3 linked regions of the Saccharomyces cerevisiae S288C genome follow. Each later gene encodes a partner of the first gene's protein in a complex. Each region holds a gene or a part of one and is shown on either strand. Other genes may lie near its edges. A codon is read from its position in the direction of its gene.

Region 1 (8,681 bases):
CGTATACCAGCTCCATTTTTCCCGGGTGAGTTATTATCGTATTCATTCTCCCACGGCAGATCTTCTTTTTTTCAATTTGCTCATCCTCTGTATGATTTGCGAAAGATTTCTTTGAAGGTTGAGATAGAGAAACTGGAAAATTATCGCTATACTCATGCTTACTTGCACTAACTGGCTGAGATAGAGACACCTTATCAGTCTTATTTTCTGGCTTTTCAGTGGAAGCGATAGTTTCCAAAAAATTGGCTTTTTCTTTTGACAGAGCATCACTAGAAAAAGGTTTGCTTTCACTTTTAATGAAAGGAGCCTTGAGTACGTTTGAAAACAAATTTAATAAAGATTTGCTTTCAACAGCCTTGGAAACCGGTTCATCCTTTGATTTAACATTCTCCCGGTCAATCTCTGAGGATATTTTTGGAGCAGATTCAACCTGAAAAAGGTCATTAGTTCCAATTTTTATATCTTTTTTTTGTGTAACTTTATGTGTGGAAGGAAGAGCAGTGTTTTGTGATTTATTTAAAGGGTTTTGAATAGTTTTCTTAGCCTCATTTGATGATTCTTTCGTATGCAAAATATCTCGCACAATTTCCTTAGGCTCTAATTTCTTTTGGATGTTTATTGTACCGTTTGAGATATTTGGAGTTCGCCCTTCATTAGGCTTATGCTTTTTCATAGGATTCGGTATTTCTCCTAGCTGGGGCCTCTTTGATGGTGTAACATTCAGGGTATTGTTTCTCGAATCAATGTGGGATTCTCCTTGTACTTTTTGAAGCACTTTTCGACCATCTATTCGTACACTCTGTATCTGCTTTGTGGTTTCTTCGGTTACTTTGTTTACGTGAGCTTCAGTGCTCATGATTTCAGGCGGCCTCTTACCAATTTTCTTGTTTTCACCATTTTTATTCTTTGCAGAAGTGTTCATATCATTTTTCTTTTCTGTGCTTCGAGAAGTAGAGTTATAGTTGTTTTCTTGGCCTTCATATTCAACAAGAAAAGCAAGTTTTGTAGTTTCTTCATCTCTAGTGGAAAAATTTCGGCTGTTTCTACGCCCTTGAGGTCTGTCAGCTGGACTTTTCGACAAATGAGGTGACTTTAAGATTTCCATCCTCTTGAGGTCGGCGTCTTCCTTCATTTTTTGTTCAGATGTTATAGGCTGATGCTTCGAAGGTGCAAGTGTTTTCTCATCGTGCAGTGTTATTTTATCTTGATCAATGGCGACTTTTTTTGGAGATGGAACGATCTTCTTTGATGTTAGAGTTTCTGTCGTGGCTGACGTCCCATTGGTATCTAAGGCCGATGCGACCGTACTATTTGCACTATTCTCATCTAATTTTACTGGTTTTTCTTGATTTATTTCTAAACGCTCGTTAGTAGATTCCTCATTTATTCCATACACTTCTGTTTGTATGGCATTCGGTTTTGCAATTCCAGGACTTCTTGCCTTGCTCTCCTCCGGTGATATACCACTGTCACCGGCACTAACCTTCGGAACTGATAGTGAATCAGAATGGGCAAAGTTTTTACCTATATTCAACTTTTCTTCTTTTTTTTCTTCTACGGTATCTTTCCTGATAGATTTGTCCTTGGTCAAAGAAATCACAGAGGCGCCGATGTCTGCTGATCCTTTTTTAAGTGGCTTCTCTAAAACAGGCTGTTCGTTTGCCAAGTTTATGCCTAGAATCTCTTTAGAGTAATCCCTTATTTTCTCTTCACTTAGTAAGCTTTTTACTCCTGATAAAAATGAGTTATTGGTTTGTGATGTTGATATCGGTACTATGGTACGTACAGGCTTTGAATTGAAGGTAGAAGTTTGTTGCTGCGCATGCCGGGAAAATGCTGTTTGTTCAAAACTTGCTAGAGACCTGCTAGCATCATGTGAAGGATTGTTTGATTCAATTCTTCCTGCTGACGTTTTGGACCGAAGAAGGGAGAGTAGTTTGCTGTTGCTTATTTTTTCCAGATTTGAGTGAGGAAAAGAATTATAGTTATTTTTTTTCAGTGGTGAGGATTTTGGCTGTTGCAACTGTTTATGGGAAGTCGGTTTTACATCACTTGGTTGATGAGGTGAGGTATGAATTGCGGTTGACGGCCTTGAATAGTTTTTGCTTTTGGCAAACGTGAATAATGGAATTTTAGGTGTCTTCACTTCATTGGATTTTTCTTCTCTTTCAGGAATTTTATCATTCGGGGTTACTGGTTTTTTAGTAAACTTGGGAGTGCTGGACCTATTGGGTGTCTTATTGTCATTTGGCATTGGCTGTTTTCTTCGCTTTTTTGGTATTGTGGGTTGAAGCTTCCTTTTTTTTTTTATCCCCTGCAAAACGATGTCCAGTTAGAACTCTGACTGAATTATAAAACCTGAAAAGCGCTTATTTCGTTATAGGTTTATAAAAAGCTTCACTATTACTGTTATACCGTTTTTGTTTATGTGATGCGCTTTTGTTCATCTATTTAGTAATATGATTTGCGTTCGTTCTCAACGATAAAAATATTGACTAAGTACTTAATGGCAGTGCACATGTTTAAGGACGTTATAGCCAGTTACAAACACTTATGTTATTATTTCATTTATAGTATACTGCGGATATATGTACTCACATACAAAAATTTATTATATTTTCATTAATTTAAAAAAAAGAAAAGATATTTAGAAGACATTGCGCAAGGTCATTAATCCTTACCTAGCTTGTTCAAGATGTCAGCCCAAACAGTAGCAGGAGGTTGGGAAGCATCAACACCAGCCCAGATACCGGTCTTTTTGTAAAAGTCAACAATTGGTTCGGTTTGAGCATGGTAAGCAGCTAATCTCTTCTTCAAGGCGTCTGCATTGTCATCAGATCTTTGAACTAAAGCTTCACCGGTGACGTCATCCTTCATGTCTTCCTTTGGTGGGTTAAAGATCTTGTGGTAGGATCTGCCAGAGGCTGGGTGAATTAATCTACCGGTAATTCTGGCAACCAACAATTCATCATCAACCTTCAATTCGATGGCTTTTTCCAAAGGAGTTCCTTGTTCTTTCAACATTTGGTCCAATTTTTCAGCCTGAGGAATGGTTCTTGGGAAACCGTCCAAGATGAACCCATTCTTACAAGCTGGATTGTTGGTCAATTCATCCTTGATCATGTTAACCATAATGTCATCAGAGACTAAACCACCTTGGTCCATAATTTTCTTTGCTTCCAAACCTAATTGAGTGCCCTTTGCGATTTGAGATCTCAACATGTCACCAGTGGCCAAGTGAGCGGCATGGAAACGCTCTTGCAAATTTGGAGCTTGAGTACCTTTACCGGCACCAGGTGGGCCAATTAGGACCATTCTAATGGATTCTGAGCTAGACATTACTGTTATATTTGATGCTGTGTGGTGACTTTACCAGAGAAACGTTAATGTTTCTTTATTAAAGCTCTCGTTTCTGATAAACCAGGTAATCCATTTCAGAAATTTATGCGTATATATATATACAAATATGCGTAATAAAACTAGCCAGAGTGAAAAAGTCGAAAATCAAAAAAAAATGGGCGAATAAGGACAGAAGCCGCGGGCTGCTGCGGACAGTTCTCCGTGACAGGATCGCGCAATCGTGAGCTTTTTTCCTTTGGTTGTGAAAATTTCGTCACACTATCAAAGTGAACAAAGCACAGAATGTGTTTGCTACTCAATCATGTTCAAGTAAGCAACAGTGCCCAATGAACCTAAACAGAGCAACAGAGAAAACAGGAAGACACAACAAAAAATTTATATCATGCATGACATATGTTACCGTTAATTATATACCCAATAAATTATATATAGAAAAATAAAAAGGAAAAACAGAAAGGTCTAATAGACACTTAATATAGTTACAATGGAGAAGCAGTTTAGTTCCTTCCGCCTTCTTTAAAATACCAGAACCGATCTTATAATTCTTGAGAAGCCTTGGTAGCCTTGGCAGACTTCTTTGGCAACAAGTTTTGATGGATGTTTGGCAAAACACCACCTTGGGCAATGGTAACGTTACCCAATAGCTTGTTCAATTCGTCATCATTTCTGATAGCCAATTGCAAATGTCTTGGAATAATTCTGGTCTTCTTGTTATCCCTAGCAGCATTACCAGCTAATTCTAAAATTTCAGCGGCCAAATATTCCAAGACAGCAGTCAAGTAGACTGGAGCACCAGAACCAATTCTTTGGGCGTAGTTACCTCTTCTTAGCAATCTGTGCACTCTACCGACTGGGAATGTCAAACCAGCCTTAGCAGATCTAGATTGAGAAGCTTTAGCAGCTGAACCAGCTTTACCACCTTTACCACCGGACATTTTATATTTTATATGTATGAAATTTGTTTGTTTTGAAGTTGTTTATTCACTGAGAAATAACCAAATCCGTATGATGATGTAGTATCAAGAAGAGAAGTACAGATTGGAAGTAAATAGATGATGGTTCAACAAGACCAGAAAATCTACAAGCTGATTAGGAGTCTTATTTATATATTTTTTAGGTCAAGACTTATTGCTAGTATTTACGATCCACTGGCTGGCTTCGTGAACGGGGAAGGGGGTGAGAAAAGATTTTGAAATCAACAAAGTGGGCAATAACAAATAACAGCATGAGAAACCACATATCTCTACGGGCGTTTCTTCAACAACGACGAGTTAACTATTGTGCTCTTTTTTTGAGCCACCAAATACACTCCATTCCAATAGCTTCGCACAGTGAGGCGAAAATTTTGGAACAGCGCTAATGAATTATTTGTGAGCTCGGCGAGTTCAAATTTGAAGAAAACGCGGTTGGGTCGTTAACTATGGTTAGACGCTCAATGTCGCCCGAAAGGGAAGGCTGTTCTCACTTTTTCGCGCGTTGCACCCTTTCTTCCGCGAAAAAATGAGAACGATGGATTTAAAATCAAGAGAATTGGCCTTAGTAGTGGCAAATACTACCTTGGTTGGTTATCTTGTAACGATTGGTAAGAAAGGGGCATCTCTGTTTTCTTGATGTATATAAACAACATGATTTGATCATCTCAGATGGTCAGATTTATTAAAGACGTTTCTCTTTCCGCATTTTCGATTATTGTTATATTAAATTTATCCTATATAGACAAGTCAAACCACAAATAAACCATACACACATACAATGTCTGCTAAAGCCGAAAAGAAACCAGCCTCCAAAGCCCCAGCTGAAAAGAAACCAGCCGCTAAAAAGACTTCCACTTCCACTGATGGTAAGAAGAGAAGCAAGGCTAGAAAGGAAACATACTCTTCTTACATTTACAAAGTTTTGAAGCAAACTCACCCTGACACTGGTATTTCCCAAAAGTCCATGTCTATCTTGAACTCTTTCGTTAACGATATCTTTGAAAGAATCGCTACTGAAGCTTCTAAATTGGCTGCGTATAACAAGAAGTCTACTATCTCTGCTAGAGAAATTCAAACCGCTGTTAGATTGATCTTACCAGGTGAATTGGCTAAGCATGCTGTCTCTGAAGGTACTAGAGCTGTTACCAAGTACTCTTCCTCTACTCAAGCATAATGAAATCACTTCCTTTGGTTATAATTAATATTATTATTTATATGGGTATATAAAAATTAAAGTAAAGTAAAAAAAATTGTATAATAGTTTAATAATTTTAATGATTATAAGATATTTACTCGGTTGTAAAATTGTGTTCTCGAAATTACAAATGGTCTCATAGAGGGAATGCGCTTATGCGGCAAGGCAGTTTACTTGTAAGACTAATTATAAGAAGAATAAATAGTGTTGCTTATTAATGACTCAGAAAAGTTTCCACATGATATTTATTAGCTTTCGAAACTTCAGAGCATTGGCTCGTGTGAACAATACTAGATTTTTCCTCAAATTTTAATTCGTATTGCAGTTGCTAACTATTACAATTTTTGTTTATTTTATGCCTTGGAGATTGAACCCTCTGTTGTGATTAACTTCCTGTAAAAACTCCACGCAAGAAACAAAATATAAAAATAAAAAAAAAATTGGTAAAAAAATGAACAATAGAATACGCACGTATAAAAAAATACTAAAAATAAAATAAATGCCACCGACTCTATAAGTACACAGCAATAGTAATTAAAAAAAGACAGATGTCGCTGACTGGATCGTCAGCTGCACTTCAGTATTCCTTGATCCTCTCTCAAGTGGATCCATCCATTTCGGCCCCTAAATTTTTCTCCATCTCATCATACGATATTCCAAGTTGATCTTCGCTGACTAAGTAGGTTTTCCTACTATTCTATGACAATTCAAGTAGTAAAGTGCTTCTATTTTTTCGCAAACGATCATATTTTCCTTTAAAAGACGATAATGATTCTTCTGGAATATCAAATAATCACTCGCCTATGAGCTCAATATGGCCATTGGATGCCTTCTCTACTTCGAGTCCGCCTATGTTTAGAAGGTCGGCTATCATAGCATCATTATCAAATGTTGCATCTCCTTTTTGATTTTCCCGTGAACTTACTGAGCTTGAGCATGAGCTCAAACTTTCAGGAGTATTTATGTCATCACTCAATGGGTACAGCGATTTTGTGCACAACCCATCGATAACACTAAACGGTTTATCACTTAAAGACCAAACGTATAACTTTGGTACTTTTATTCCAATTCTTTTAGAATCCAATATTTCGCAAGCTTTATGGCCAATTTTCTTCCTTTTTCGATCTGGGGTTGGTAAGCTCTCGTCTTCATCTGTTGATTCATCATCTCTATAAGTGACCTCATCAATGTTGTAATCACTATCATAACTATCATTCCTTGGGCCTTCCGAAGAACATGTGAGGTTGGATAAGTCTTCTCTTGAACTATTATAGAGGCAATCAATATCCTTTTTCCTTGTATTAATAGCGACGTTGTCTAGACTAAAGGTGCGATCAGGTCCATCGAGCTCTACTTCGTCGATTTTATGCACATGCTCGTTGAGATGAAAAAAGCTAGACACATCTAATGTAGAAAAATGATTGCATTCACTGAAATGACCATCATCCAAGTTAAGGGGCGTACGGTCCTCAAAACAACTGCTACTATATTTTTTTTCGAGTGGTCTTGGATTTTTCACTCCCTTATCCGTACCATCCATTGGTGTCAATATCACGGCCTCATCAAAGTCGACATCTGATTCCGTTTCTGGATATTGGTGTGTAATACCTCTATTATTATTTATCGATACTGTTTCGCAACTATCGATGTGGTTGTCTACTAAAATATCAACACCAATGTCCTCTTCATCTTCATTAGTTGTTGAAGCCGAAGGACTGTGGTATTGTCGGTGAGATTCACTTTTACTTGTTGGCAAACCGAGCAGTACTACAGCCGAATTCGCCCCGAAGTTTACATCGCGCTTATTACTGACATATGTAGTATTGCCAGCTGACGTGAGCTGGTCATTAAATATATTATCTGCTTCTGTCTTAGAGCTGCTGCCAAGAGACGTCTTTTCCTCTACCTCGTTGGTGTTTTCCTCCCTAGAATATTTATAAGAATTTTTTTTTTTCTGTCTATTACTACTTTCTGGTTTTAATCGTTTAGCACTAATATAGCTACTCTCAAAATCCGAGGCCTTACTTATAGAGGGGTCCCAAAGAGCATCAAAGCTGCCATCATTATTGGATGAAAGGACGACAGTTGAAGAGGACGACGAAAAGGAAGCAGCTGTACCTGTCTCTTTTGGCTTTTTTTTATTTGGACTGTGTGGCTTGCGCCGCACGGTACTGTTAACAGGCGCACTAAGCAACATTTTAAAAGACTTTTTTATTCCGTACTATACCGCTGCTGTTCAGTTAAATGGTAACCTTCTTATAACTTTCTAGTGACCGCAATAATTATATTCCTTCTTTTAAGAAATTTCTCGATACAATTATAGAGGGCTTTTGACTCATTAATCTTACTGGAACCATTGACAGATTAGTCCGAAGAAGAAAACTCTAAAAAATCCGCTAGTAAGATTCAACAAAAAAAAAGTCTGCTTGCTATGAAAGTCTGATTTCTAGAGTACACACCTCTATAGCTACACTCTCAACTGATTGCTTCACTTTTTGAAAGAGGAAGAAGGACAAGAACTGGATTCACAAACTCAACTACATCTCGGTTTATCCGTTTAGACCAAGGTTTTATATAAGGCGAGGTAGAGTTCGGAAAAGGAAACTTTCATCGACTTCCCTTAATGATTATTGATTCCCCTTTGCTTTCTCTCCCCAACATTTGAAATATGATTTCTTTTTATTTCGAAAATGCCATTCTTCTCGTTCCCGTGATGTTTTCAATATGCATGCGGCAAGGGGAACATGATATTTCCGTTCTATGGCTTACGCAAGTAAGAAGCATGGCGCAATGATGCAATAGTCCATGGGGGAAAGTGTGGCCTCAAAATGAAAAAAAAAAGTGATGATAAATTAGTTATTAGGTAGTGATTATGTAAAAAAATTCGATTACACATTAATTATTAGGTAAAGTTGGTAGAAGAAACAGGAGAGAAAAAGAAGAGAAAAAAAAGGACAAAAAACGAATTTCATGTGGAAGTGTTCACGCTTTTGTTCAACTAATGAAGGTGCTCTCAACGATAGAAATACCTTTCTCGTGCTTATATTTAGAAGGTTGACAGTATTGATAAATGAAAGGTTTGATGCTCACAATTTTCTGAGCTAACGACCTGACCATGCTTGGTAACTCACCGAGAACGTCGTATCGATTAA
Region 2 (11,805 bases), on another chromosome or scaffold:
GCCAATTACCGGCGAATTCTTATTTGATCCAATGTTCAAGAGGAGGAGACTGATACATCGTGTTATTAAGAATGCAACACCAGTAGCATAATGCACAATTGTTTTCCTTCACCTACAACCCCACCCCTCTTCTTGGGGAAATCATTGTATTACGTACTTTTTTCCTAAAGATATTAGAAAAAAAAATGTTATGTATCAATATTACTAGGTAAAATACAAAAATGCGCTTTTGAAGTATAAATAATACAGTTTTGTTTTAAGAAATGCTATATATGAATTAATAATAAATGAAACGAAAAAAAGCACTACTTGAGTTTTAATGTCGTAAAACTTGAGAAAATTCTAAAGTGTCAGAAAAAAAGTGATTTTTAAGAAGGGACACCTTCTAGCTCGGATTTAGAGATTTTATTGATAACTCTTCTCCAATTTTTTCTATTATCATAAATGGGGACCCTCAATACACTCAAGTAAACGACAATACACAGTAGGGCAAAGGAACAGACTGACGCAGGGACCATCATTGTTACGAAATTTCTCCTAGAAATGACTTTTTCATATGGGCAACTAGCATAAGGACCACCACTTACCCAACAATTGCTTACTGATATAGAGTTCAAATCTATCCATATTTGTGTGTCAGAGAAGGAGGAATTCCTCATATATGCAATAAACGATCTCTGCTCCAATGGGCTTCTAGGAATATTAAATGAATACTGATCGGGACATTTAGATCCCTGGTAACTATCAAAATCAAAGTACGTAGCCTTATTTGATCTCACCAACCATCGGAATGCCATATTTTCATATCTACAGAGCCCAATATTAGAATTGTAACAGTTACCTACTCGCCATGTTACTGTCTCATTGTTAGCAAAGTAGTACAAGAGAACGCAATTGTAAGCCTCTAAGGTCCCGGATGAGCTGCCAGATTTAGAAGTTGACTGAGTAACTGAAGGTTGGTCACTATCCCATGACCAAACGCTGCCTTCATGAATTATATCTGCTAACTGCGTCACATTATTGACGTACGCTGAATTGCTTATTATTGGTGATAAACCACACGAAATATACTCTTTGATGTCCACGGAATTGAACAGCGAATCTAAGAATCTCCAATGGATAGATGATAAATCAGTCAGACCCTCTACAGTAGAGGGGCAATCTAATGTAGAGTTCCCCTGCTCATAATGAAAGACGTCATGAGGAAAAATATATGGAGCAGTAGTTTCATTAAAAAAATCGGTCAGCTCACCTATAACCAGTCTCTTCTTTTGTTCATATAGCACAGAGCCCAGAGTGGGCCAACCGTCAATGGACGATTTTCCGTAGATGTTCCAGGTATTATTCTTTGCTCTATCACTTTGTAAATCCGTAGGCTTGTAAATGAAACTATTTCCTAAATTTTTGTCCAGTATATAAGTAGTGTTCAAAGTTTGGTTTTGGTGGCGGTATTCTGTGGAATCCAGTTCAGGAGCTGATATATTCAGCAACAGTACAATGATATTCGCATAGAGGTTGTTTTGTGTGCTGAAGATGAATGACTGTAAAGCAGTTAGAACGTCGCTAAATAACAATGTCGTATCTACCACTCTCAAATCATTATTATATTGTTCCAAGTCGAGGACAAAAGCATTTGCTTCGGAGGATAGCATAGATTTGAACAAAGTCAGTAATCTTGTATTATTACCTTCATTTACCATGCTAGTCTCATTGTTCAACAGAACCCGTCGTAGATTCAAACCAACATACGGCAGCTGGTCTATAGTTAAGTTTCCCATGACATCTCTTTGGGACCTAAAGGCCACCGTCATTTGAGGGGACATCGTCGGCCAGACAGATGCTGAAACGGTCTCATTCAGATCATCGCCAACTGTCGTAGTAGAGTCAACAGCAGTAACCCACGTTCGCAGTGAGGACCATATGATAAATAGGTATATGAGTATCCACATACCGTGTCTATAACGATGCGAATGCAAATGAACAAAAGAAAAAGGGAAGAATAGAATGGAGATAGTCTTTGAAAAAGCGAGGTTAAAAGCGACTAAAAAATACCAGCAAAAAGGTGACAAATAAAGTTAAACAGGGTGTATCTCACCGTGCAGCGAACACTTCAATGTGACTTGCTCAGCCAAAGACTCATCAACATTTATGGAAATTTCAATGATTCCCATTGTATTGCCTCTTCCCATTGTGGAAAAAAGAAAAATGCCAAAATTGCAAACCCTAATTTAAAAGGGTTACAGAAAAAAAAAAGCAGGTCTGAAATGCAGTTCGCCATGGTTAATATCTTTTCCTAATTTGGAAATATGTAAACAGGGCATCTTTCCTTTTTTTCTCCTAATGAAAATTGTAAGCAAAAGCATGAAACAATACTGCCACAAGAGGAGAATTCCTCCTTTTGAAGTCTAAAGCGCCATTTCAAACTAGTTTTTAGGAGGTCAGCCAAACGTTCATTCAGATTAGTTACTATCTTGGAATACTTCTAGTAGGAAAACAAAATAACATATACAGTAAGAACAATAGAAAACGTATTTATGTCCAACAAGGCAAGTGACCAATCAGCACGCACGGCTTCCATCCTCAAGACTGATATTACCAGAGAAAACACAATCACCAGAAGCAGCAGCAGCAACAACGACAACTACCATCACCACAATAACATCAATAATTACAATGAATCGGCGAAGACAGGAGAGGACGCCAATAAAGAGAATATACCTAATTTAGAGGAGGAGATTGCGGCCTTTCGAATTTTTAGGAAAAAAAGCACTTCAAACTTGAAGTCGTCACACACCACTAGCAATTTGGTAAAAAAGACAATGTTCAAAAGGGATCTTTTAAAACAGGATCCGAAGAGGAAACTCCAACTACAACAAAGATTTGCATCACCGACTGACAGGCTGGTATCACCATGCTCATTGAAATTGAATGAGCACAAAGTTAAGATGTTCGGAAAGAAAAAGAAAGTCAATCCTATGAAACTGAACTTTAAAGGCAACCTTGCTGCCGATTCAGAGGATGTAGAAATCGATGAAGATGAGGAGTATTTCTACTAAAAAAATCTGCCTTTCTAGTCATCCAAAAATAGCCAAATGCTACACTAAACCAATAAGCAAACGAGTACATAAAGAATAAGTAAATAATAATTCAACAATACCTGATTTTTTTTTTCTTACATTTTTTTTATTATTCATTAAAAGCAACCACCAAGCTTTCCAAATTATGAAACCTTGATAAAATGGCTTCAAAATCTTGATCTGGAATTCCGTTTTTTTTGAAGAGGTCGAAAATTATTTGCTTGATTAGAATTTCAAAATCAATAAACTCGTCCATATCCACGCTGTTCCGTGTCAAACGCTGGTTAGCTTTAAAAGCTAGAAAATATTGATTGTTTTCAACATATCGACTTCTGTCTACTGGTGTAACCTCTGTAATAAAGTAGCGGGCACCCGTTTTCGATGGTCCATTTATTAGATCTAGTGACCTCTCCAATAAGATATCCCAATAAGCTATTGAGAATTTCAAGCGCGTGAAATTCAAATTTATCATCAGAGAACGATGTGCGGGAACTCCAGGGCTTTTCTGTATTTTCTCATAGACATTATTTATCAGTAATTGCAGCTGTGTAACAATAAAATTGACGCCACTTTCTTCGTCTTGTAGCTCCTCGTTAAGCTGCGAAATTAACCTGCTCGTATTCACAGTAACACACTTAACCACAGAATGTTCTTCGACATTAGAAATCTCTTGTATTTTTTGTACATCCCAAAAGAATTCAGACATTTCTATTGAACCATTCCAGAAATGTTGTTCCAGAAGTTTATTCTCTTGAACCTTTACACTATTTCGTATTTTCTCGGTTTTAGCCGCCCACTTTTCACGCGTTAACAGGGTAAGCTATATCAGATGTGACTTTTCTTTTTCACTCATCTAATGTTGTTTTTCGCGTCACATTTTTTGCCAATAAATAAATACATCACAATGTTCTATATTGTATATTCAATGGAAGTCATTAGGTTATTGGGCAAGATTTCAAGGAGGTAGCATACTGGTAAATATACGATCCATGAGCACATCACTTCTGTTTGAGCAGCTAAATTTTTTAATTTTAGTGGCAGCAGAGGCTGAGCTTCCCATCGCTCACTCTACTAGAAAGCTTTTGATGGATAATTCATGCAATAACTGTCAAATATACGAGCTTTATAACGAAAATTTGAAAGATGTCAAGACGGATAAAGATTGGTTCATGAACAAATTCGGCCCGCAAACAGTACATTTTGTCATTAGTAATACAATCAACTTTCCTTTTTATAAGATAGTTTATTTCGATCTTTTGATCCCGGTGGTATCACACACTTGGGTCCAGGATTCGGTCAAGACGAAGAGACATTTGAGGACAAATATGTATTCACCTAACCCATTTCATTTGCTCCGAGACTGTCAAGTATATATTTCCAAAAGCTCGTTTAATAAGTGTGAATACATATTATACTCTGATTTGCTTCATTTATTAGGAGGCACTTTAGTCAATTACATCTCAAATAGAACGACGCATGTGATTGTTCAAAGTCCCCAGGACCCGATCATAGCAACGGTCAGTAAATTGACATTTGGCTCTTTTTCCTCTTCATCGACCAACAAGCACACCGAAAAGCCTTTGAGAGAGTGGAAATTTGTCTATCCAATATGGATATTATATCATTTCAAAATGGCGAAGCCCTTGAAGGGCGAGCTTGCTACTTTGTGTGAGCTTGATATGCAGGACACCAGTGAGGAACAGTTATTCGCAAAATGGGAAGAGGTTATTGGCGATAAGCAGACATCATCATCGCAGCTTACTCTTCATCCAAACAAAACTTTATTCAAAAATCACCACTTTGCTATCTCACCAGATTTAAACTTTTTCACACCTTTGTATTGGTTTTTGAAAGGATTTATCGAGGATTTGGACGGCAAAGTAACTCCGTTGAGTTTTTCTGACGATCTGAAGTCTGTTTACCAAGCTTTTCCTGATATTGACTGTTATATCGGCCACTCTGCTAACTCACCGATACTAGAAAAAACCAAAAGCATTAAACCGGAAATTCATGTTGGGAACGTAAGTTGGTTGTTTTATATGTTTGCGCTGCAAAAATTTACACCTGTATCGCAATGTAAACTTATTCACCAACCATTTCATGCGAAATTATTTACTTCTAAGGAATTAACAGTCGCGTACACTAATTATTTCGGCTCCCAAAGGTTTTATATTCAGAGGTTAGTAGAAATATTAGGAGGACTTAGCACACCTGAACTAACAAGAAAAAACACACACTTGATCACGAAGAGTACAATTGGCAAAAAATTCAAAGTCGCAAAAAAATGGTCACTGGACCCGCAAAATGCCATTATTGTGACAAATCATATGTGGTTAGAGCAATGTTATATGAATAATTCCAAGTTAAACCCCAAAGACAGTAGATTTCAAAATTTTAAATTGGATGATAACATGGGATGGAATATCGGCCAAATAGGAATGGATCATTCATCTCTCCCAACTCCAAAAAACCTATCGATGGTGACTTACGACACGCAATCCATATCAGAGAAGCCGCCTCCCACAAATGATCAAATGGATCAAATTAACGATAACACCAATGTATTATCAAAGAAAGATGGTACGCCCATTAGTAGTTTTGAGAACTCAATTGATGAAAAGATTGACAAATTACAAAAAATATCAGGAGAGGTGGCTGTAACCCATTCTGGAGATTTAGAACGGAGTTTTGTTTCCAGACCTTCAAGGGCAAGTTTTCCAGTAGTTGACAGTAAAAAATCTAATTTACAAAAGAAAGACTCAAACTCAGATATTAGTATGGAAACAGAGGTTTTCTGTGAAGGACATGAAAAAAGAGAAGAAAAGGAGTTTACGAAACCTATTACGGAGTATGATGCACCTAAGAAACAAGAAATAAGGGAACAGTCACGCAAGAAGAATGACATAGATTATAAAAAAGAAGAGGAAGAAACGGAGCTGCAAGTTCAGCTAGGACAACGAACTAAACGAGAGATCAAAACTTCGAAGAAAAATGAAAAGGAGAAAGAAACCAATGAATGTCACATTGAAGTAGATCAAATGACGAATGAAAAGCAAGGGGAGGAAAGTACAGGAAAACTGATTTCTACGGAAGACGTCACTTCTAAAAAAGATACAGATAAATTCTCGCATTTGTTTGAAGGATTATCTGATAATGATGATCACATTAATGACGAAAAACCGGCAGTTAATTCCAAATATACCACACCCAAGACGTCTCAAAATATTACGAGTGGCGTTGATACTCCAACCACCGCGCAAACGCAAGTTTTTATGCCATCAAGTGGCAATTCAAGGTTAGCAAAGACACAAGCTGCGAAGAGATTGCATACAGATATTGAATCATTAAATGAATTTCAGAAAAACTTTAAAAGGAAGAGAATTGATAGCGAGGAGATTTCATTGTCCCAAGATGTTGAAAGGTCAAATAATAACAAAGAACTGGCTACTAAAGCGGAAAAGATATTAGCTAGATTTAATGAACTACCAAATTATGACCTAAAAGCGGTTTGCACCGGTTGTTTCCATGATGGATTTAATGAGGTTGACATCGAAATATTGAACCAACTAGGTATAAAAATTTTTGACAATATTAAAGAAACGGATAAATTGAATTGTATTTTTGCTCCAAAGATTTTGAGAACCGAGAAATTTTTAAAAAGCTTAAGTTTTGAACCGTTAAAATTCGCATTGAAACCTGAATTTATTATTGATTTACTGAAACAAATTCATTCTAAAAAAGATAAACTTTCTCAAATAAATATAAACTTGTTTGATTATGAGATAAATGGAATTAATGAGAGTATAATATCAAAAACCAAACTACCTACTAAGGTGTTCGAAAGAGCGAATATTAGATGCATTAACTTAGTCAATGATATACCGGGTGGTGTAGATACAATAGGCTCTGTTCTAAAGGCACATGGTATCGAAAAAATCAACGTTTTACGTAGTAAGAAATGCACATTTGAAGACATAATCCCAAATGACGTTTCTAAGCAGGAAAACGGAGGCATTTTTAAATACGTACTTATCGTCACCAAAGCTTCACAGGTTAAAAAATTTACCAAACTGATTAATGATCGTGATAAAAACGAAACAATTTTGATTGTTGAATGGAATTGGTGTGTTGAATCAATTTTTCATCTCAATGTTGATTTTACATCAAAGAAAAATGTTTTGTATCAAAAGAAAAATAACTAAAAATGGACACTATATATTACGTCATCTGACATACGACACTGATAACAAATAAATATATAATAATTATAAAGATGCGTTGTAGAAAATCTTATGTTCAACAAACAACCCACATATGATTAACAGACCATTTTAAATGTCTAGTTAGAAACAATTATTTGGTACTGTCTTTGAATTAGATTGTTTAATAAAGCATTTCTAATATAGGATACAAAGGGTCAAATAGTACCGTGAGTAGAATCATTTATTCCACACTTTATCCGCAAACCTTTTAATTTTTCTACAATTTCATGGATAAAAACAGATTCATGGCCAGAATGCGTAAAGCAACTCTATTGTACAATTTTCCACTCTGAGATATTCACACAGCGGAGAGCCCTTCTACTCAATGCGTCAAGAACAATGTTCCAAACCTAGTGTATTTTAGGTATATTATTACGAGAGTATCCGCAATGTTAATGACGCAAAATTTAATGGCTCAAGCCAACTACTAACGTTAGTAAGAACTTTTTGATCTAATAATTAAACAGGTTACATCCATAGATTTACGTCAGAAATCTTAAATAATGTTTACATGCGAACAGTACCAAGATACATATATGTGGAGCGGATGAGAGATAAAATTGGGTTAAATGGGAAACATTACGGTATGATGCATAATTTTGAGTTTGGGCTTATTATCCTCGTGCGTATTGTATCGTCTCAATATGAGTGAAGATAAATCACCTATTACCCGAACTTTGAAGAGAACACTCTGAAAATTTGGTGAATAAGAAAGGGCTGTAGGTATTATTCGCGAAGCTTTCATTTATTGTAGTGAAAACTAGGGTGACAGAAGCTGATGGTCTGTTCTTCGATTTAGTACTGCCAATTTCAAGTTTTTCACTTCTATAGCTTTGGTATTGGTCATTGTAGAACAATTTTATAATGCATGAACACAAAGCGGAGCTACGGCTAATAACCGTTGCACTTAACGAAGCATCCACCGATTCCCCCTCTTTTAGAGCTTCTGTCAATTATTTCCATACCAGAATGGAATCTCTGAGTAGTTGGATGCACAGTACTGTGGATTATGTAGAAAATACGTACAAGCCTTCGTTCCAAGACTTCCAAAGAATAAAGGAAACACTATTTTCACAGCTGCTCCCTTCTCCTATATTACTCTCCAATGGATTTGTCAGTAACCAGCCATATACTCCCTTGCTTGTAAGAGACTTTACTAGAGATGTCAGTGACCTTTCAAATACGGTTATGAAAATAATTTTAGGTGATGAAAACTCACAATACACTGCGGCATTGTCTGCTTTGAGCTCTGATGCTATTAACCCTTACTTCAACAAGAGAAAAACTTTTGAATACTACCAAAGGAAGTATGATTCGTTTTTAACTGACTTTTTAGCGGCCACTAATGATGGCAATACTTTAATTCCACAAAATCTGCAAAATGAAACATTCAAATTAGTCGATATTAAACACAAATATATAGAAGCTTCCTTGGATTTGACTGAGGCTATTTCGTTAATGAAAGTTAATTTGGATAAATTCCTGATAGAGACAATAGACATTGTGCGCAAAAATAACGTTATTACTACCAAGGACACCAAGGACGTTATCGACATTACTCCCGAACTTACGGAAACATTAAAGGATTGGACCGATTGGATAGAAAGTAACCTTCAGACTTTACAAGCATTGTCATCCAAGCTATCTGAAGCTAAGTATGCCATTCTGAAGCTCAGCTTGGCAAGAATGAAGCCATCTCGCCTGATACAAGACTATGATTTGAAAAGCATACAAAATTTGAAGTTTAACCTTCCAAAATCGATAAGTAACGGAAATAATTCTGAGGAAAAAGGGCTATCGGGTTGGTTGTACATGAAAACTACAGTTGGTCATGATCCGAAAAGAGTTGTGTGGGTAAGAAGATGGTGCTTTCTACAGAACAATGTTTTTGGAGTTTTTTCACTGTCGCCTAGCAAAACTTATGTCGAAGAAACCGATAAATTCGGTATATTATGGATAACTGTAGAATATCTGCCCAAAGAACCTAGAAATTTTTGTTTCAAATTGAGGATTCAAAATCCAAATTGCAAAACAGAAGAAGAAAATACATACATAGATATCATCCTGCAAGCTGAAAGTATTGACGAGTTAAAATCGTGGATAAACACCTTAACTTCTCACAAAAGAATCGCATTGTCGATAAAGGAGGAAAACGATCCTCGTTATCAATTGGCGAGAAAAAAAATTGAACCTCAATTTTTCGAGTTTGCTTCAAGTAGCTCAACGTCAACAGATAAATTATTAACTTCATTTTCCAGTAAAACTTTGACATTGGTAGAAGAGCTAAAAAAAAATTATATGTCAGAGGATGATATATACTCTATCATTGATAATAAGGCATACCATCTGAGAGTAATTTCTACACCGATAGCCACGCAGTTGACTCATTTGGCTTTATTCTCTACATTTCTATCTGTATCAAATTATTATCCGTGTGCTACCCAGGCAAACACCTGGGGTACGGCAAATTGGAATGATTTGTCCTATTTAGTCAATCCACTCAAAGGAAGTTCAGTACACAAGCCAGCCACAGTATCGAATTCTTCCAGGTTTTCCGTTAGCTACCCCGACTATTATCCATACAGCCTGAAAGTCGATGATATACAATTTAGATCAATTTTCTTTTCAGTGAATCATGATTTTTTACAAGTCCCAAAAGAACTTGTTCTTTTAAGATATTCATCGGTGTGGTGCCCGAACAATAAACAAAAATTTGCATCTATGGCTTTTGTTACCCTTAACCACATTTATGTCTATTTAAATATTTCAGGCTTTTCATATTTGAGAAGAATAGATTTACTAGATATCGACTCAATCGAATATGATAAAAGCCCAAAACATGTTTCTTCAAGAATGCTGCACATGCAAAGAGGCGATGGACTCAGGTTTAATATGTCCGTCTTTTTTACAGATCGAAGAGCAGTTGCCTCAAAGTTACAATTTCTGATAGAAAATAAGGCAATGCATATCCCAAAGGGCGAAAAAGAGGTTTTAGAAATTTTCCAGGAATTAGACGAAGAGATTGAGAACGAAAAAAAAATCATCAAAGATAATTTGTCAGAATCAGAACATTATTCAAAAGATTATGATTATCTATTGAAGAGCACGTATGACCATCATTTTGAGAATACTAACGAAACGCCTATGGAATTAATGAGCAGGAAACTCCGTTTAGAAAGGGAAGCCTGGTGCTACTTTCAAGACAATTTTAAAGTCGGAAGCAAGACGCTATTCCACGTTCTTTTTGGAGACAAATCTCAAGTTTTTCCAAGTTCACTATTTCTTTGTAAGAAGGGCAGTAACTTGAATAACAATTCATACTGGGAGCGCATTAGGCGCGCGAAAGAAGATGCAAGTTGTCAATTTGAACTTTGCCGTAAGTTACAGTTTCAACTGAATCGAACTTCTAATTTTATCAAAGATCTATTATGGTTGAAGGATGACAATGACAACTTCAAATTAGTTCTTCAGCAGCGTGTGACAAAAATAAAACAAGGTTATTATTTTGAGGTGGAAGAAGGTCCCATTATTGTGAAATTTCCGCTATGCCATCCCTTACTCCTTCGTGTGAGGTTCATAATTGCAGAATGTATCACCTCTCAAGGAGAGTCCCTCAAAAAATGTGACCTGGCAATACTATATGACTTCAACTATGTTGAATCTATTGATAAGTTGAATACCAAAGTTGAAAAACTATGGCTTTTTGAAAGAATACACCTCAACTGGGCATTGAGATATTGTAAACTTGAACATTCTGAAATTAACAGAAAGACGAGGGAATATCTAAAAAAATTCAACGATAGAGAAAAAATGAGTGATGTTATTAAATTGTGTGGATTCCTTGGTGTTTTACCAAAGGAAAGAATAGAAAACGATGAAAAGGCCGGCGATTTCATGCAACCTGTATATATCAATTATGATTTTCTGTCTCTTTCAAAAATTTTTACAAAATTGACCGTGTTTTATTTAAGCAGTGTCATCATTAAGACCATGAAAGTTTTACTGGCAATGGTAATGGTTATCTTCAAATGTTTTTCAAAAGTTAACAAAACTTTATACTATTGTCTTTTGATATCTGCGGTAACCAATTTGTTCTTTGTTGGTAAATCTATTCATTCATATTTCTCCGTAAAGTCAGCCGAAACCCTATTTCAGAACTATGCCAATGGTGATCAGCGAGGACTTCAAATCATGCATCGGTCTTTGACAGTGCCTGATTTGAACCTACTTACAAGAAAAATGATGGATAATGACCAGGAAAATCCAGTATTCAAGAGATTTGACGAAGACAAAAATGCATACCAGTACAAAGGAACAAGGCAAGAAATTGCAATTAAACGAAACCAAGTGCTGACGGAATTAAAAATTCTACAAAATACGGAAAAGGAACTCGTACAGGGAAGTTACAGAAAATTCATAATAACAGAAAGAGACAAATGCATCACCACTCAGAATGAAATCTTTGA
Region 3 (9,762 bases), on another chromosome or scaffold:
AAAAAAAAAGAAAAAGAAAAAGGAAACAAAGTGGGAGACAGAAAAAGAGTGAAAGAAACATAGTATTTACCAAGTCGAAGATTTAGCACAACAAAGACTAATCTACACGCATACTGCTCTTCTTCATTATTGCTTTATCTTCCGCGTACCTTAGTTATGTCACAGAATATTCAAATTGGCACTAGAAAACGTTCAAGAGCAAATATGAATAATTCCACTACTACGGGCCCTGCTAACAATACAAGCTCTAACAAGACCTTTTTGGATAATTTCGAAGAAACGCGCACAAACAAGCTGCTGGACGAGATGTTTGCTCGGCAAAATTCTTTTCTAACAGACAATCTGAGGAACAGTCTAGACCTGAATCAAGCAGACAATCCGCTCCGTCCTCGGCAACACCAACACCAGTTGTTCTTGGACAATGAAAATGCCATAGAACTAGACGAGGAGCCGCGTATCATTAACACCACAATCAATAACAGTAATAATCATAACAGTAGTCGAGTGGACGAGGATGCTGACGATGACATCATTTTTATCAAAGAGCAGCCAATTCAGTTTTCGTCACCTTTGATTCTGCCTAGTAGCAGCAGTATCAATAACAACAATAATATTGTTACTTCAAATAATCCAGGGTGCGGTACCGCAGCTACAAGCAATAGTACGTATATCACGACACCAAAGAAATTCAAGAAGCAAAGAACCATCTCACTGCCTCAGTTGCCTCTATCGAAGCTGAGCTACCAATCGAACTATTTTAATGTTCCTGATCAAACCAACGCTATCGTGCCAAGAGTAACGCAAACTGAAAATGAGCTGTTGCATCTAACGGGGTCGTGTGCAAAGACTCTGGAGGGCAACAAGGCAGTGAATCTCACGATTGCTCACAGCACTTCTCCCTTTTCCAACCCACCAGCACAAATAGCTTCCCTGCCTCAATCCAACCTCAAGAAACAAATTGGTTCTTCACTACGGAAATTTACATCAAACGGCTCTTCAGAAAGCGCATCATCCAATAAATCAAATTTCAAAACGGACAAAGACGGTCACTACGTTTACCAGGAAAACGACATATTTGGCAGTGGCGGCCGCTTTGTTGTGAAGGACCTATTGGGCCAAGGCACGTTTGGTAAAGTACTTAAATGCATCGATAACAAGTATGAACCTAATTACGTGGCTGTAAAAGTGATAAGGGCTGTAGATAGATATAGAGAAGCCGCCAAAACAGAACTAAGAATTCTACAGACTATCCTGAATAATGACCCTCAAGGTCAGTTCCAGTGCCTCTTGCTAAGGGAGTGCTTCGATTACAAAAATCACATTTGTTTGGTGACAGATCTATACGGCAGGTCCATTTACGATTTTATGTGCTCCAACGGCATTGCCAGGTTCCCCGGCTCTCATATTCAGGCCATTGCCAGACAGCTAATCAGATCTGTCTGCTTCTTGCACGATTTGGGCATAATACACACGGATTTGAAACCAGAAAATATCCTGATTTGTGACGAAACCCATATTGCTCAAAAATTGCCTTTGAAAACCGTACAGTCGCTAAGCAAGAGACGCCGTGAAGCCAGTAAGGGGAAGCGCAAAATCTTGAAAAATCCAGAAATCAAAATCATTGATTTCGGTAGCGCAATTTTCCATTACGAATATCATCCTCCTGTAATATCCACTCGTCACTATAGAGCCCCGGAAATTGTCCTTGGCTTGGGCTGGTCGTTCCCCTGCGACATTTGGTCCATCGCGTGTGTCCTAGTAGAACTGGTTATTGGCGAATCTCTTTACCCCATTCATGAAAATCTAGAACATATGGCTATGATGCAACGAATCAATGGAACCCCTTTCCCCACAGACATTATTGATAAGATGTTTTACAAATCTAAACATAAATTGGGCAACTCTCCATCAGACCTAAATTCAACGGTGATAAAGCATTTCGACAGAAAAACTTTAAGCTTACAATGGCCTGAAAAAAATAAACGCGGAGATACCATAACCACCGAAAAGTCAATGAAAAGGGTCTTGCAGTCATGTGATCGCTTAGATATTTACATCTCAAAGGTCTTGAAACAGGATTACGGCGATAGCTTAAGCATCAATTGGAATCTACCGCCGGAGAAAAACTGGTCTTTGATAAATTCGAAATTGGCATGGAAAAGACAAACACATTCCTCTTCTTCCTCAACTACTGATGAACTCGATAAGGAAACTTTCTTGTTTTGGTACTGGTTCATCGATCTACTCAGGAAAATGTTTGAGTTCGACCCAACAAAAAGGATTACCGCAAAGGACGCTCTGGACCATGAATGGTTTAATCTGGGCATACTGGATGATGGTATTGCAACTTATAATAATACCCAAGGATAGTGGGTGTTCTCGTTCTACTTTTCTCTTCTTTTTTTCACATCTTTTACTAGTTCCGTTTTTTTTTTTTTTAACTCTTCTTTTTCATTTTCCGGTTTTTAATAATATTTCTTTAAATTTCTATATTCAATAAAAATTCTTCCTACATATATATCTTCATATTCAAACATTTATAGTATTTTTACTAATTTTTTGTTGTTTTAATATACTATAATAATATTATTATTACTGCTACTACTATTATTATTATTATTATAATTATTATTATTATATGTCATACATAATACATTCTATTGATTGTCTTTGTCTTCCTTTTCTTTCTCCTCTAGATACTACTAACTTTACTTCAACTTCGAATTCAAATAATTTATTTCGTCCTTCAAACTTGCCTCTTCTACAGTTTTTACCAGCTCCTTTGTACATTTGGCAACATCAAACGCAATCCCTGCCAACCGCTGTTTGAAGTTTTTGTCAGCATAATCTTGATCGCTCTTTTCCTTCGCTAGTATTCCATCGCCAGTTAATTGGCACAAAATTGTCATTCTACGCGAACAGTCTCTTAGACTTTGCACCACCCAATCACCGTGTTTCTTCAAATTGGCATTTCTGCTTTGCTCCATTGATATGCTAGTAGCGTCCACCATTTGACCTATGACTTGGTTGATTGCATTCGATTCTCCCCTCAAATTACCCTTCGTCACCTGTGGTTTCTTGATCGATGTCAAAAGCGATTGAATCGTGGATATGACGTCCATTGTTTGATGTTCTAAATACAATAGTAACTCTGATAGTGTATTATCCGGATTTTCAATGTCAAATGTATCCACATCAAAATCACTGTCTTCTTCCTCTTCATCGTCATCTTCACTTTCCTCTTCCTCACTTCTGTTTTGTTCTTGTTCTTGTTCTTCATGTTTCATGGGAACAAATTGATAGCTAGAATCATCATCATCACTATAATGTTTCTCGTCATGTGCCGTAGTTTCTCCAGTATTTTTTATCTTTATGTGGTTGTTAATGCCGCCGTTCGACTCTGAGTTCTCGTATTGAACCGGTTTACTGTTTAAAAATGGTGAGTGGCTCGTCTTTTTTACCTGTGAATTTTCAGTTGGATTTACGAAAGCATGCTTTCTTTCAGTGATGTGTATTTGGGCATCAGCTCTTTTTCCATTAACATTATTTGATTCATCAATATCTTCCTCGGAAGTATGCACTTCTGCTTCGCTTTTTGCTTTACGATCAACAGGTATTTTATGATAATCAATTTTTCCAGTTTTCGTATATGCACCAGTGATCTGGATATTGTGGTTCACTCTATCAAAATCTTCGTCCTCCTCCTCTCGTTTGATCGTACGGTTTAAGTCGGCGTCTCTCCAAGAAGTATTGGCATCCTTGTTTGTTGGTTCCACAGAAGTGATAGTCTCAGTATGTGGTTTATTAGTTTCTCGTAACTCGACATTTTTCTTTATCGGTGCTAGAGGTGAATTTTTTGCCAATTCAGGAGAAACAATTTGGCTATTCGGTTCTGGGAGCCCGCTCTTTTTCAGTGTAGCTGAAGATGGAGTCTTTTCGACTGATTTTGGTGATCCAGTTCTATTAACAGCCTTTGGAAAGACAATCTTTTTTAGTACTTTTGGGGGGTCAACATTCTCTATCGGCTCTGAGGAGGCAATGTCTCTCCTTATTTCTTGAGGTTCAGACACAGTATTTCCCTTTAAATTTGGGGATTCCATTTTCACTGTCATGTTTGAGGGGATAGTATTGCCTACTGCCTCCAAGGACTCGCTTTCCCTTACCATTCTTGGAGATTCAATTTTGTCAACTTCTCCTGATGACGCCAACTTCCTAGCCGCTTCCGGGGACTTGATTGATTCTTGAGCTGTAATTTTTCCTGTCATACCCAAAGACTTAATCTGCTCTTTCATGCCCGGAGATTCGACCCTACTATCTGCTTCTGGGCCTACAACTTTTCCTGCCATATTCAAAGATTTAATCTGTCCTGTCATGCCCGGAGATTCGACCCTACTATCTGATTCTGGGCCTACAGCCTTTCCTGTCATACCCAAAGACTTGACCTTCTGCGTCATATCCGGAGATTCGACATTACCAAGTGGTTCTTGAAAATTTTTCTTCCTGACTGATTCTACAGATGCGCCCTTCTCTGGCATTTCTGAAGGCTCAACATCCTCTACTAATCTCTTAGGCAGCGAACTACTTGGCATTTCTGAAGACATTTCAGATGACGTGATTTCCTTTATCGATTCAGGAGATTCAATCTTCACGGACTCCGGTGACTCATGTAAATCAAGTTCCACTATATTTGCAGGTAGTTTGCTGTCATTATTTTTTTCAATTTTTGAACCTTCTCTCTTCATTGTTTGTTTCAATGCCATATAGGTAAAATCATCATCATCGTCTGCATCGTCATTTTCGTTACCATCAGAGCTTGAATCATCTGTGGACACATCATTCATTGAAGTGATAAATTTATTGGATAGTTTTGGTTTTGAATCCATTTCTTCTTTTGCTATAGGATTTTCCTTTGGTGATGATTTCTTTTCGGAACTTTGCTCAAATTGTTTCAGTTTATCAGCAATGCTAGAAGTTGGTTTAACAGAGATTTCATTTGTTATGTCACTCCTTTTATTATCCTCTTCTGTATTCTCGATTTTAATATTGGGAACTTGATTCTCTGACGGTGGAATAACAGTACCGATTTTGGCTTGTGGAGGTAGTGTTAGTTTAGGAATTTCGGAAATATTGCTACTTGCAGAATTGGAGGCCGATGTTACTGCCTTTATGGGCGAGACATATTTATCATTATCCTCTTTATGGGAGCTATTCTTAGCAATTGATGAATCAATCATTAAACTAAATAGCCCCGTTCCTGAAGGTTTTCTTGAGGTTGTTGGAACTCCATTAGACGATGACGGTCTTATGATCGGACTGTTAATTGCCTTTTGTGTAATTTTCAATGGCTTGACTGGAGATTCTTCTTCCTCCACATCATTCAAGAAAGATGCTGGTTTTCTTGGGTTTATAAACCCCTTCTTCATATTTATTCCAGAAGTCGAGGGGAAAGTTGGCGTCATTGGGGTGGTAGCAGTTGGTGAAGAATATTCTAATACCTGTCGGTTACCTTCATTAGAGGTGGTGCTCTCACCATTTGAATCGGATTTTATTTTCGCTGAATCAATTAGATTACACATGGCAAAACAAACCTCTGAAACAGCAGCTTGCACAGTTATTTTCGGAATTAATACGGGACCGTAAACAGAGAAATATCTTATCGATGTGATCGCATGCGATAATGATGCCTTCAGTAAAATGACCTGATCTTTGTACTGTAATAGGTCGGCCGATAGTAATAGCTGGGAGATTAGGTTCGATAACTGGGATAATATTTGAAATAACTCTTCGCCAATTTGATGGGAAATTGCCGTGGAGTCGCCTATGGGTACTGCGGAAAGCCTAGTAGTAAATTGAATTATCAAGTTGTTAGCGTTTAAGATGTATTGAGCTGGAATGAGCCCATCGGCAGAAGAGTACTTGCTAATAAAACCGTCAGTGATTTTCAAATCATTATGGTTGTCATTCTTTTTTTGATGCAGTTCGAATTCTGAAATTTTCTGCTTCAAATTTTCATTCTCAATTGATAATTCACCGATTTGAGAGTTTAATGACAGCAATTCTTTCTGAAAACTTTCATCAATGGTGTAGTTAATCTTTAAGTTCTTTTCCTTTTCTTTTTCCTCCTTCTCTTCCTTCTTCTCCTTTTCCTTCTCGCTGGTTAAAGATGCTAACTTAGCATTCAAATCTTCAATTTGCAAATGTAAGTCGCTGTTTAAATCAGTCAGTTCTTTAACCTTGTCTTCCATCTCTGAGTTAGGGTTATTGTTCTCAGCCCGTTGTACTTCAGGGCTCTTCAACTGTTCGGGACCCTTTTCGTTATCGATATCTTTATCTACCTTGATAATTGGAGAATCATTAACGTCCCAGTAATTTTTATGCGTCGTTGTTGGAGTCCTTGCCATTGATGTGATATCACGAGCGAGCACTTGGGAGTCAGGCAGATCAGAATCTGTAACTATGGGGTTTAGAGCAGGTTTAGCCTCTTTCTTTTCATCCATGCTTGTTTGTTTTCCCTCCGGTTCATTTGGCTTCTCCTTTACTTGCTCCTCTTCTTCTTCCTCAGAAGACCAATCGATAGATGCCATCTTAGGAATGACCAAAGAAGGTTGTACGGAGACGTTTGGAGCTACTTGAGTCACAGAGGAAGAATTTGTGGATGTTCTTGCAGTATCATCGCTGTCTTTGCTGACCTCTTGTTTCATCGGCTGCGGTAATGGGGGCCGTGGAGCATCCAAATCCTTGTCGAACCCTCTTCTCTTGATCTCAAAAAGGATATCGTCCAACAAATCATTAAATCGAGTTTGTGATAGATTGGCCAGTTTCTGTCTAGCCTGGTTCCTTTTCATGTGGAAATTTGCCTTCGGCAAAAGGTAATCTGGTTGGTTAGCATCTTCACCGATTCTCCTCTGCAGCTCATCGGACACGTCTGTACTCAGCTCGTAAAATTGCGAAGAAGATAGCTTCAACAGCTTGGCTCTGGCCTTTTGAGCTCGTGTCGAATTTGACCTGTCACGATTTTCGCCAGTCACCTCGAAAAAAGTCTTCAGTGAGACGTAGTAATGGAAGATATCTCTATGATGTGCGAGAGAAACCTCGCTTGACGTACCCATGTTTACTCTTTCTTTTCTTTTGTTTATTCTGTTTCGGTGGCTCGTATTGCGTTATTCCTCACGCCTTGATTTGAATCTTCGTCTCACGTGGTTTCTCAGCGTCTTTCACACGCTTCTGACCAAATTTATCTTACCGAACTATACGTAGCTATGTGTTGCTTTCTGCTGAAAGAACTCGATAATAGAATATTATTCTCAAAATACTTCAAAGTTTATTCTCATCGTTTCCAAAAACGCGTCACGCATCACCCGGCGCAGTATTTCTTCTTCCTTTTCCGCCATAAAAAGTCATAATAATAAGCCTATCTCAAGATTCTTATACTACTTTTAACAGTTTTATTGATAACTTACTTACGTTAGACCATCTTTTTTGTGCAAACCTTTGGTAAAAAAAAAGAACTGCGCTACCTTCTCCTAGTTTATGTATGGTACGGCAACTCATAGTTAGTTTTCTGTGCCCGTTTTAAGCACGACTTGAACTTACGTGATTATATGTATACAGTGCATGTTTTTATATAGAAAAATAAAAAAATGGGGTTACGTAGTCGAAGGATATAGCAGTGTCTAAAAACTTGCAAGAGCACTCGTAGCTCCCCGGCAGTGGAATCTTACCACTTCTCAGAGAATGTCGGAACGATATGTTACTGCACTGAAGTTTCGCGTTTTTTCCAATTTTGTATTATTTCATTCTACTCAATTTTGAGGTAACATCGGCGATGAGGTCTCCTTCTAGAAGTAACAGAATATGAAACTAAGGGCAGAAGACGTGTTGGCAAACGGAACTAGCAGACATAAAGTTCAAATTGATATGGAAAGACAGGTTCAAATTGCAAAAGATTTACTCGCACAGAAAAAGTTCTTAGAAGCTGCTAAACGCTGCCAACAAACTTTGGACTCTCTCCCAAAAGATGGTTTGTTGCCTGATCCTGAACTGTTTACTATATTCGCACAAGCTGTATACAACATGGAAGTACAGAATTCTGGTAATCTGTTTGGGGACGCTCTTCTGGCAGGTGACGATGGATCTGGGTCTGAGTCTGAGTCTGAGCCTGAGTCTGATGTGAGCAATGGAGAAGAGGGGAACGAGAACGGTCAAACAGAAATTCCTAATTCTAGGATGTTCCAATTCGACCAAGAAGAGGAAGACTTGACTGGTGATGTCGACAGTGGTGATAGTGAGGACAGTGGCGAAGGTAGCGAAGAAGAGGAAGAAAACGTGGAGAAAGAGGAAGAACGCTTAGCTTTGCACGAATTGGCTAACTTCAGTCCAGCGAATGAACATGACGATGAAATTGAAGACGTATCGCAACTTCGCAAGTCTGGTTTCCACATTTACTTTGAAAATGATCTGTATGAGAATGCTTTGGACCTACTGGCGCAGGCCTTGATGCTGTTGGGCCGCCCTACAGCAGATGGCCAATCTCTAACCGAGAACAGCAGATTGCGCATCGGTGATGTGTATATCCTGATGGGTGACATCGAAAGGGAGGCGGAGATGTTCAGTAGAGCCATTCATCATTACTTGAAGGCGCTTGGCTATTACAAGACCTTGAAACCCGCAGAACAAGTAACTGAGAAGGTGATACAAGCAGAATTTTTGGTGTGTGATGCTTTAAGGTGGGTTGATCAGGTGCCGGCTAAGGACAAACTAAAAAGATTCAAGCATGCCAAGGCTCTGCTTGAAAAACACATGACTACAAGACCCAAGGACAGCGAGTTACAGCAGGCAAGGCTCGCACAGATTCAAGACGATATTGATGAGGTGCAAGAAAATCAGCAGCACGGCTCCAAGAGGCCTCTTTCGCAGCCCACGACCTCCATCGGCTTCCCCGCCCTCGAAAAGCCCCTTGGTGACTTCAATGATCTCTCTCAACTGGTCAAGAAGAAGCCTAGAAGGCATTGATAGTTTTGTGTAAAATGTAGCAACCTACATACGTAATGTATATTTCTCCTTCTTTGGTACGGCGAAAGGGCCCCATTTTAAAAGGGTGAAAAAATATTTAAAGAGCAAGCAGACCATCCCTGAAATGACATACTTACTACATCTAAAAAAAGTCATTTTTCTCTATTCATAAGGAGCAAGAAACACTAGCCAAGAATAGTCAGTATAATGTCATCAAGACCCGCTAATAACCAAGGCCCCCCAAACCTCCCTGCCAGAGATAAGTCGCTCGTGCAAAGGTTCATGGCAGTAGCCAAGAGCTTGCAGTTTGCATGGTTTACCGGTCATTCCGTCGTATTGATCAGCTCCATTCTTTACCTGCTCAAGATGTCAGAATTTTATTACAGATCGGCATATCTCGGTGTCATCGAATCTTTCGGTATCATCATTTACCAGCAATTTTTCACCCGCAATGAACCATTGCAGACTCAAGATGCCGCTGCCACTAAGGCTTCCATAAAATCACGCGTTGCTGGACTCCTAAAGAGTGAAGACGTGCTTTATTTGGTTTTGGCCAACTTCTGGTTGTTCACTCCAAGATTTTCATTCAGCTTAATCCCATTTTTCGCGTTTGCTGTATTCCATGTTTTAATCTACGTTGAAAAAGTTCTCTTACCAAAAGTCTTCCACCTTTCCAGTAAAGATTCAAGTAAGATCCTCAGCTTCATCGACAAGTTTGTTGTTCAGTACAATGACTTGTGCATGCACTGG

Evidence for each region.
Region 2: the proteins of HTA1 (region 1) and RTT107 are in contact, whole or in part, in a crystal structure (PDB 3T7K), measured with the Saccharomyces cerevisiae proteins. Residues at the interface, in NP_010511.3 of Saccharomyces cerevisiae: Ala128 (codon at 3,914), Ser129 (codon at 3,911), Gln130 (codon at 3,908), Glu131 (codon at 3,905), Leu132 (codon at 3,902); in NP_012024.1 of Saccharomyces cerevisiae: Cys841 (codon at 6,587), Thr842 (codon at 6,590), Gly843 (codon at 6,593), His846 (codon at 6,602), Leu883 (codon at 6,713), Arg884 (codon at 6,716), Thr885 (codon at 6,719), Glu886 (codon at 6,722), Lys887 (codon at 6,725), Leu889 (codon at 6,731), Thr970 (codon at 6,974), Ile971 (codon at 6,977), Val974 (codon at 6,986), Trp1043 (codon at 7,193).
Region 3: the proteins of HTA1 (region 1) and HIF1 are in contact, whole or in part, in a crystal structure (PDB 5BT1), measured with the Saccharomyces cerevisiae proteins. Residues at the interface, in NP_010511.3 of Saccharomyces cerevisiae: Gln17 (codon at 4,247), Ser18 (codon at 4,244), Arg19 (codon at 4,241), Gly30 (codon at 4,208), Arg31 (codon at 4,205), Arg34 (codon at 4,196), Arg38 (codon at 4,184), Arg79 (codon at 4,061), Ile81 (codon at 4,055), Pro82 (codon at 4,052), Arg83 (codon at 4,049), Gln86 (codon at 4,040); in NP_013078.1 of Saccharomyces cerevisiae: Ser79 (codon at 8,089), Gly80 (codon at 8,092), Asn81 (codon at 8,095), Leu82 (codon at 8,098), Phe83 (codon at 8,101), Tyr203 (codon at 8,461), Glu248 (codon at 8,596), Glu250 (codon at 8,602), Arg291 (codon at 8,725), Asp335 (codon at 8,857), Asp336 (codon at 8,860), Asp338 (codon at 8,866), Glu339 (codon at 8,869), Glu342 (codon at 8,878), Asn343 (codon at 8,881), Gln345 (codon at 8,887).

The regions. Positions count from the first base shown.
Region 1 is NC_001136.10:911,144-919,824, reverse strand, and holds HTA1 (histone H2A), read right to left. Parts: upstream 4,296-8,681; coding exon 3,897-4,295; downstream 1-3,896. Other genes in the region: chromatin-silencing protein SIR4, read right to left, coding at 1-2,254; adenylate kinase ADK1, read right to left, coding at 2,671-3,339; HTB1 (histone H2B), read left to right, coding at 5,113-5,508; CRF1 (Crf1p), read right to left, coding at 6,323-7,726; YDR222W (uncharacterized protein), read right to left, coding at 8,524-8,681. UniProt on the Saccharomyces cerevisiae protein: Core component of nucleosome which plays a central role in DNA double strand break (DSB) repair. Nucleosomes wrap and compact DNA into chromatin, limiting DNA accessibility to the cellular machineries which require DNA as a template.
Region 2 is NC_001140.6:398,900-410,704, forward strand, and holds RTT107 (Rtt107p), read left to right. Parts: upstream 1-4,066; coding exon 4,067-7,279; downstream 7,280-11,805. Other genes in the region: PEX28 (Pex28p), read left to right, coding at 1-91; MTC6 (Mtc6p), read right to left, coding at 369-1,949; SPO12 (Spo12p), read left to right, coding at 2,535-3,056; SPO16 (Spo16p), read right to left, coding at 3,187-3,783; LAM1 (Lam1p), read left to right, coding at 8,204-11,805. UniProt on the Saccharomyces cerevisiae protein: Required for resumption of chromosome replication after DNA damage, specifically in S phase. Is recruited to chromatin in the presence of RTT109 and RTT101 in response to stalled replication forks and acts as a scaffold during DNA repair.
Region 3 is NC_001144.5:98,294-108,055, reverse strand, and holds HIF1 (Hif1p), read left to right. Parts: upstream 1-7,854; coding exon 7,855-9,012; downstream 9,013-9,762. Other genes in the region: serine/threonine protein kinase KNS1, read left to right, coding at 157-2,370; SPA2 (Spa2p), read right to left, coding at 2,709-7,109; nucleoporin POM33, read left to right, coding at 9,220-9,762. UniProt on the Saccharomyces cerevisiae protein: Histone H3 and H4 specific chaperone component of the nuclear histone acetyltransferase B (HAT-B) complex. Involved in chromatin assembly and telomere silencing.